Linked DNA regions of Schizosaccharomyces pombe. Each later gene encodes a partner of the first gene's protein in a complex. Each region holds a gene or a part of one and is shown in the gene's direction. Other genes may lie near its edges. The genes, in order: red1 and pla1.

The links.
Region 2: the proteins of red1 (region 1) and pla1 are in contact, whole or in part, in a crystal structure (PDB 7Q72), measured with the Schizosaccharomyces pombe proteins. Residues at the interface, in NP_594850.2 of Schizosaccharomyces pombe: Lys294 (codon at 3,302), Trp298 (codon at 3,314), Leu299 (codon at 3,317), Ser301 (codon at 3,323), Ser302 (codon at 3,326), Lys303 (codon at 3,329), Pro304 (codon at 3,332), Phe305 (codon at 3,335), Gly306 (codon at 3,338), Ser307 (codon at 3,341), Ser308 (codon at 3,344), Thr309 (codon at 3,347), Pro310 (codon at 3,350), Asn311 (codon at 3,353), Val312 (codon at 3,356), Val313 (codon at 3,359), Ile314 (codon at 3,362), Glu315 (codon at 3,365), Phe316 (codon at 3,368), Asp317 (codon at 3,371), Gly322 (codon at 3,386); in NP_595362.1 of Schizosaccharomyces pombe: Lys358 (codon at 3,296), His359 (codon at 3,299), Leu361 (codon at 3,305), Ala366 (codon at 3,320), Ala367 (codon at 3,323), Lys368 (codon at 3,326), Thr369 (codon at 3,329), Glu416 (codon at 3,470), Ala419 (codon at 3,479), Gln420 (codon at 3,482), Ala423 (codon at 3,491), Ser424 (codon at 3,494), Phe468 (codon at 3,626), Val470 (codon at 3,632), Leu481 (codon at 3,665), Lys483 (codon at 3,671), Ile489, Lys490, Arg491, Leu492, Asp493, Ile494, Ser495, Thr498, Tyr502, Lys506, Asp513, Thr514, Leu515, Met516.

What each region holds. Positions count from the first base shown.
Region 1 is NC_003424.3:5,071,894-5,075,816, reverse strand, and holds the start of red1 (protein Red1), read left to right. Parts: upstream 1-1,918; 5' UTR 1,919-1,944; coding exon 1,945-2,089; exon of another isoform or gene 2,090-2,367; coding exon 2,368-2,428; intron 2,429-2,628; coding exon 2,629-3,923. Other genes in the region: protein mcp3, read left to right, coding at 1-681. UniProt on the Schizosaccharomyces pombe protein: Promotes the exosome-mediated degradation of mRNAs containing a DSR (determinant of selective removal) signal sequence from mitotic cells.
Region 2 is NC_003423.3:926,765-930,687, forward strand, and holds the start of pla1 (mRNA cleavage and polyadenylation specificity factor poly(A) polymerase Pla1), read left to right. Parts: upstream 1-2,120; 5' UTR 2,121-2,224; coding exon 2,225-3,680; intron 3,681-3,723; coding exon 3,724-3,841; intron 3,842-3,880; coding exon 3,881-3,923. Other genes in the region: gta1 (glutamyl-tRNA amidotransferase alpha subunit), read left to right, coding at 86-332, 379-1,204, 1,252-1,594. UniProt on the Schizosaccharomyces pombe protein: Polymerase that creates the 3'-poly(A) tail of mRNA's. May acquire specificity through interaction with a cleavage and polyadenylation factor (CF I).

The sequences.
Region 1 (3,923 bases):
TCTTGTTCAGACTTTGAGCAACTAGGGCAAGAAAGCGAAAATAATACTTCTATCTCAGGAAGGGTTAGTAAATTAGTCAAAAGCTTTAATGATTCATCTTCTATTTCCAACAACACAAAAATCTCAATCACTAAGTCCCCATCTGGTGAGAAAGTTTCCGTATTTAAAGAGATGTCAGACATAGCTCTGCGCGATATGGATAAAAACAGAAAATTATTGGGAGAAAATGTTGACGTGAGAAATATTGTTGTCCAAAAGGATGAGTCATTGAACATTGACTTACAGAATAATGCTGTAGTACCTGAACTGCACTTCAAGGAGGGGATGGTATACGATTCATTGGAAAATGCGTATACTTATTTGGCCGAATCCAAACGCATGTTAGCAAATGAACTTCAGATGAAGCAAGAAGATCTTGAAAAAGTTATTTTAGAACTTGAAGCTTACAAGGAAATCTTCTTAGAAGAAAAACAAATTCCTTGTGAGGAGTTTATGCCAGGTAAGAACGCAAAATCCGAAAAGTCACTGCGGTCAGTTTTTCAAGAGCAGTTGATGAGAGAAACAAAGCGAGTTCGAAAATTGGAAAAAGTAAACTCTGAATTGAAATTGCATTGCTTTGAACTTTCTGAACGATTGAGGGAGCGCGAGCATACACTACAGCAAACATTTGGAGACAAATAGTATGTTCGCAAGTAGTAACAGATCAAAGGTACTAGCCTCATTGAGATTACCAATAAATAATCTATGAATACGGTCTTTCGTTTTAAATGCTTGAAGGCCGCCTGTTAGCCTCAAATGATAACTTGACCGGTCTTAAAATTTCGAGGTTTATGGGGGAATTTCAATAATAAATAATAACAAAATCTAGCATTTTTGTTAGGTGATTACATGAAAGCGTTTTGATCTTAAATCATTTCTTCAAGCTCCTGAAAGGCTAAATTTTTCATGTAACGGATTAAACAGACTAAATTCAGATTAATAACTTAAGCAACGGAAGAGTATGTTATAAAACTGCACGATTACATATTCCTCGGTCTTTAGTATTTTTGCACGATCGGCCTTGTAATCAGATACGGAACTACCTTTTCGATGAGGGTTTTTAGTAAAAAGAGCTATTACCAGTGTTACTGTCAATAGTCGGCTTTCGTGCTAAAACATCATAAACGGATACCCGAACTTTTATTGCACACGAAATTTGCATAAAGCACAATGTTTTTGTTGTTTTTAGTTTATGAACTTCAAGTTTTTAATAAAGGCCAAAGACTGTTCCAACGTTAAAACCGAACTGAGCGAAAGAATATTTCTTTTTCTCATGTGCTCATAGAAGGATATGCTAGTAGAAAACATTATCATTATTGGACAAAGGTTTAAAACACAGTTTTCTCATTTTCGCTATTTTTCTTGAACTTCTCCAGATGTTCTATGTTTCTATTTATGAGACAAGGCGGCCGCTACTAAATTACTGACTAGTCCATTAAAAGCAGATTTCCCGCTATAATTTGATAACTCAAAAATGTTATTTCACCTTCGCGTAAATTTGTGCTGTAAACTAGCAAAAGATAATTGGATGCGAAAGCTTTGAATCACCGCTACACTTTTCGTATGAGCAAGCCAATAAGGCTGAACATATTAGCTGTTCTTGTGTTACTTTTTAAAATTGTTTGAAAATATATTTGCTACATTCAGTATACCTGTTCAATAGACTAATTCCGAATGTTTTGTAAATAAAGAGTCTTAGTGCATATTTCAGACAGTTCATTAGAACAAATAAGAAAGTATTCAACCATCAATATCTTTATTAGGGAATAACATGCTCTGAGGTGAAAAAACTTTATGTGCAATAATATTTAATGTTTTTCGCGTTTCACTGTCTTAACTGGTACTACAAACAAAACATCTGCTGTTGAAATTTGGCACTACTAACCCAGTTTTAGCTGTAAATAAATGTCCCGGTCAATAAATCTCGATGAGTTGCGAAAAAAGGCTTTAGAATCAAAAAAGAAGAATGAAGAAGATGAGAGTAATGACTCTGACAAAGAAGATGGCGAAATTAGCGAAGACGATCCTGTTATAGATCAATCAAATTCAGGTAAGGTAGATTAGAGATGGAAATTTACACAAATATATTGTGAAACGAGACTTTTTGTTTTTATAGGCTTGTTCGCATTTTATTGAGTTTTCCTCGACGATTGCTTGCATTCGTTTAGAACATTTCATATCTCTATTTATATGCGTGGCTTTTTTTTTTTTAAAGAGAGAAAAATAAAGCTGGCAGAAGCCTTTTATATGTATTTGGAAATTATGTTTTGATATCCATCTTTTCAATTTTCTCACCGTTTAAATGAATTCGTTTTTTTAACAGTTTAGTTCCGCCAATGAAAGTACCAACCTTTCCTGAGCAAATTCCTCAGTTGCCTCCTTTTGATAGGTAAGCATGGCATTTGATTAAACCTGTCAGTGCAGCTTATTTATCTTTTCTACGGAGCTATTCTCCGCTAGTTATGCTGTTCTGTACGGTTTAACTCCAACTTTGGGATTACGAGAATGACAATTTGTAAAATTTCCTTTTTTTTTTTCGAACTTGAATACATTCAACCCATCAGGTGTCTTATCTAACTAACACACTAGATTTCCTGGAACTAACGCGAATTTTTTTCCATTTGGCGCACCTTTTATGCTTCCTCCAGCTTTGATGTTTGGACCAAATACAGTTCCTTTCTTTCCTCAAACCGCCTCCTCAAACAAAACCTTTTCGAAGCGCAAACGGTCATCTGAGAATTCATTCAACAACCGAAATAAGGCGAAGTCTTCTGAAACATCGGATTCTTCTAATACTTCCCAGTCATTTAAAGAAAACCGGGCTCTTAAAGATACCGCTACTAGCCGACCATTGGCTTTATCATCCGACACTTCTTATCAAAAGAGTGAAAAGGCAAAATCAGAAAAATCACCTTTTCTTTCAACATCTAAAAATTCTGATGCAAATTATTCCAAGACTACTAATCAAAAGGAAGCAGAGAAAGCTGTGAGTCAGTTGTTTGAAGTAGGAGTGCGCTTTAACGATTTTATTGCTGAGGGCATCGAGCCTTCGGTTGTTCATACTTTATTTTTAAAGCTCGGACTGGATTCCTCTTCTGCTAGCTCCCAAGGAAGTCTGACACTATCTGCAGACAAAGCTGCTAGGTCTGCTAAACTTCGTAAGATTGACAGTAATCTTAGTGACACACATATATTACCTGGCGATAATGGTACACCTACCGTCCTTCCTGAAAGAAAAAATCTTATATCTTTACCACTTTTGAAGCAGGACGATTGGCTATCTTCTTCGAAGCCTTTTGGCTCCTCGACTCCAAATGTAGTTATTGAATTTGATTCCGATGATGATGGAGATGACTTTTCGAATTCGAAGATAGAACAATCTAATTTAGAAAAGCCCCCCTCAAATAGTGAAAATGGTCTTACTATGTCTCGTTCAGATTACTTGGCGCTTCTTCGCAATAAAGAAGAGGAAATACGGCGAATGACAAAGTTGATCTTACGGCTTGAGTCTAATAAAAAACCGTATAGATCGCCAACTTCTGCCGCCGATATGAAACTTCCATCTGTCCCTGTAGCTGCGGTTGACAACAAATCTAAAACACACTTGGATACCTTTGAAAAAGTCGTTGATCTTAGTTCCAAAGCCGATTTTGTGGAGGCTGGACCTTCTATTAGCTCGTCAGGAGCCTCGTCTAGTGCTGCAACTACGAATTCTGATACAACTGAGCAGATATTAGAGGCACCTTGGCTCAGAAAGACGGAACAAATTGCTGTGGTACATGAAGAGCATCCCGCACAGATTAAAAAATCCGAGATTGACATTTTAAATAACTTAATAGAAAAAGAGGAAGGAGAACTAACAAAATATCAAACTTTGGTGAAAT
Region 2 (3,923 bases), on another chromosome or scaffold:
ATAGCTCACTACTTTATTCAACTATACAACAAGTTGGGTAATACATTATTTGCACGAAGTTAACGTCCAATGATTGATTGGTCGAATGAGTAATAAATATAACAATTTATTAAAAGAAGTTGCAGCTAAATATGCTAGTATCATTCTAAATGATGCGAAAATTAAGTCTTTAACTTCAATAAATAGTGCCGAATATCTATATGATTCATTTGTTGAAATTAGTAAATTACCACTGGAAAAGAAGCTTCCGTTAAAATGGAAACTGATTACAGTAAAGGAAAATATTTGCACGAAGACAAATTTAACCACGGCAGCCTCTAATATGTTGAAGGGTAGACAATAAGAATATATTTCAGTTACTAATTGCGGTTTAACTAGACTACAATTCTCCGTTTGATGCGTCAATTGTCGAAAGCTTGAAGAAAGCCGGCGGTATTATTCTTGGTAAAACAAATATGGATGAGTTTGCAATGGGAGTCAAGAGCGAAAACAATCTTTTTGGTCGCACTGTTAATCCTGTTGTTAAGGATAGTAATTACGATGTTGGGGGCAGCTCGGGAGGAGCTGCTGCTGCAATCGCGGCGGATATATGTTATGCATCAGTTGGTTCAGACACAGGAGGATCAATCCGTCTACCTGCTGCTTACGTAGGTTGTGTAGGTTTTAAACCATCTTTCGGCAGGATTTCGAGATATGGAATGCTTGCCTTTGCCAATAGTTTTGACACAGTGGGTATCGCTGCAAATAATGTTAAGGGCGTTACCAAAGTATTTAATGTTTTAGACCATCCCGACATAAATGACTCAACCTGTTTAACTAAAGAAGCTCGTTATTTTGTTAAAGAGCAGCACAAAAAATTATCGCGGAAGCCAATTAAAATAGGAATTCCAATTGACTGGAATGTTTCTGAGACTCATCCAAACGTTTTAGATAAGTGGAATGAATTCATATCTCTTCTGAAATCAAATGGTTATCTTGTCCAAGAAATACAGCTTCCAATTTCATTATACGCTAACAGTGTATATTCCACAATGGCTTATGCAGAAGCGACTTCAAATTTGGCTAAATATAATACTATCGCATTTGGCAATTGTTTAGATGAAAAGTTCGAAGAGGAAATAATTTCATCTACTGCACGCTCTTTTTTTTTAGGAGACGAAGTGAAAAAGAGGCTACTGCTAGGCGCTTATTCACTAGCAAGAATGTATGATATAACTGATTTACTAAGTAGTTACTAATATTTACAAATAGGAATTCCTCTGATTTGTTTTCTAAGGCTCGATACGTTCGCCGAGCCATACAGCTGGAATTCAACAAAAACTTTTTTCTACCTTCCTTTTCTGTCGATGATCCCAGGGGTGACATCGATTTCATAGTTACCCCTTCTTTTTTTAATTCCAGTCAACCCATTGAAACCCCGTCCTCTTATAGTCATCTTTCAGATACTATGTTAGTTCCAGCGAATATGGCTGGAATACCATCCGTTAGCATACCTTTCGGTACTTTGAACAATGGGCTTCCAATGGGAATTCAAATTATGGCCCAATATCTTAATGACGAAGATTTGTTGTCTTTTGCAGGCCAGTTTGCATAGATTTCGGCTGCTTATCTAAACTCTCGAAACATGGCTATGATAATCTTTATGAGCATAATAATTCTTTACTGTTTGGAATCAATTTCATACATTGAAACTTGTTTGCAAAGAGTTTTGGAGAACTTGTCATCAATAATTCGACAGTTTCCCTACAACTGCGGTAAATCCAATAAATAGATGTGGATTCTGAATCATTTACACTTCTCAGCAACATAAATTATTTTTACATTTCAAGTCGCTAGTTTATTCAACCAAAAAAAATGCATATCTGAAGGATGGAATTTAACGGGTAAGCTTTTAAATACAAAACCAGGAGCAATCGGTTTGTCAGATAATGAACATAGTGCACTGTCAAGATATATATGATAAACAGCAACAATTGTATAATTTACCAGATAAATTAAATTTGATTTAATCGAAATAAATGTCTCAGTGCAACTGTAAATGAATTTTTTGACATTATAATAAGATAACGCACTTTGTGAAATTGCGTATTTATGCCTTAAATCCTAAACGAATGCTAACCAGATCTACACATTTAGCATTAGTACGCTTTAAACCAGTTGTTTTTAAAGGTTAGGATAATTTAAAACAGCTACCTTTCAAGACTCCAATTTTTGTTTTCAAAGCATGACTACCAAGCAATGGGGTATTACACCGCCAATTAGTACTGCACCTGCTACTGAACAGGAAAATGCTTTGAATACGGCTTTAATTAATGAGTTGAAGAACCAAAACTTGTTTGAATCTCCTGCCGAATCTGAAAAAAGAGTAAAGGTTCTTGATGAGTTGCAACAAATAACGACAGAATTTGTAAAGAAAGTATCACTTGCCAAACATATGAACGAAAAGATGGCTAATGAGGCAGGGGGGAAAATTTTTACGTACGGAAGTTATAGACTGGGCGTTTATGGACCTGGATCAGACATAGATACCCTAGTCGTTGTACCCAAGCATGTTTCTCGCGACAATTTCTTTCAGGACTTGGAACCTATGCTTCGAGAAAGAGAAGAGGTAACTGACCTTGCTGCTGTACCTGACGCCTATGTTCCTATTATTAAGTTTAAATTTTTGGGAATAAGTATAGATTTAATTTTTGCTCGTCTTTCAGTTCCGCGTGTTCCCCGCGACCTCGAATTGTCTGATAATAACTTATTAAAGGGTGTTGAAGAAAGATGTGTGCTAAGTTTGAATGGTACACGTGTTACGGATCAGATTCTGCAGCTTGTCCCTAATCGTGCTGTTTTTAAGCATGCTTTAAGAGCCATAAAGTTTTGGGCTCAACGTCGTGCAATATACGCTAATGTCGTAGGATTTCCTGGAGGAGTCGCCTGGGCCATGATGGTAGCTCGAATTTGCCAACTATATCCGAATGCAGTATCTTCTGTGATTGTTGCTAAATTTTTTCGTATTCTTCATCAATGGAATTGGCCTCAACCAATATTGTTAAAGCCCATTGAAGATGGCCCCTTACAAGTACGTATCTGGAATCCAAAACTTTATCCATCCGACAAAGCTCACCGTATGCCAATTATAACCCCGGCTTATCCATCAATGTGTGCAACTCATAACATTACTTTATCCACCCAAACAATTATCCTTCGCGAAATGGTTCGGGCTGGAGAAATTGCTGACCAAATAATGGTCAAGGCTCTTCCCTGGTCAGCTTTGTTTCAAAAACACGACTTTTTTCATCGTTATAAGCATTATCTTACGATCACAGCAGCTGCTAAGACAGCTGAAGCTCAATTGAAGTGGGCAGGTTTGGTTGAATCTAAGCTTCGTCATTTGGTTACTAGACTGGAGCTTGTTGATGCTATTGCTTTGGCACATCCTTTCAATAAAGGATTTGATAAAGTGTATAATTGCTCCAGTGAAGAAGAAGCTCAACAAGTAGCTAGCGGCGTTACTCTTGAAGTCGCATATGAATCTACGGATCATGAAAAATTAGCCAACGATACAGTTAATGAAGAGAAAGCCGACAATACTGAGAGTAAAGCTGATGGTTCTGAAAATGGTGAAAAACAAATTTTTCCTGTTTACACTACAACATGTTATATAGGGCTTGAACTTGAAAAGAAGAAAGGCAAGATACTACATTTTGAAATTAATTATGCTAACTTTATTAGGTCATCCAATTAAAAGACTTGATATTTCTTGGCCTACCCAAGAATTTTACGAGTTGTGCAAAAAATGGGATAAATATGATGACACCTTAATGAACGTTTTCATTAAGAATACTAAAAAGTAAGTCATTTTATATATATACACTCTCACACATTTTAGTACTGCTTTACCTGATGAAGTTTTCGAACCTGGAGAAGAACGG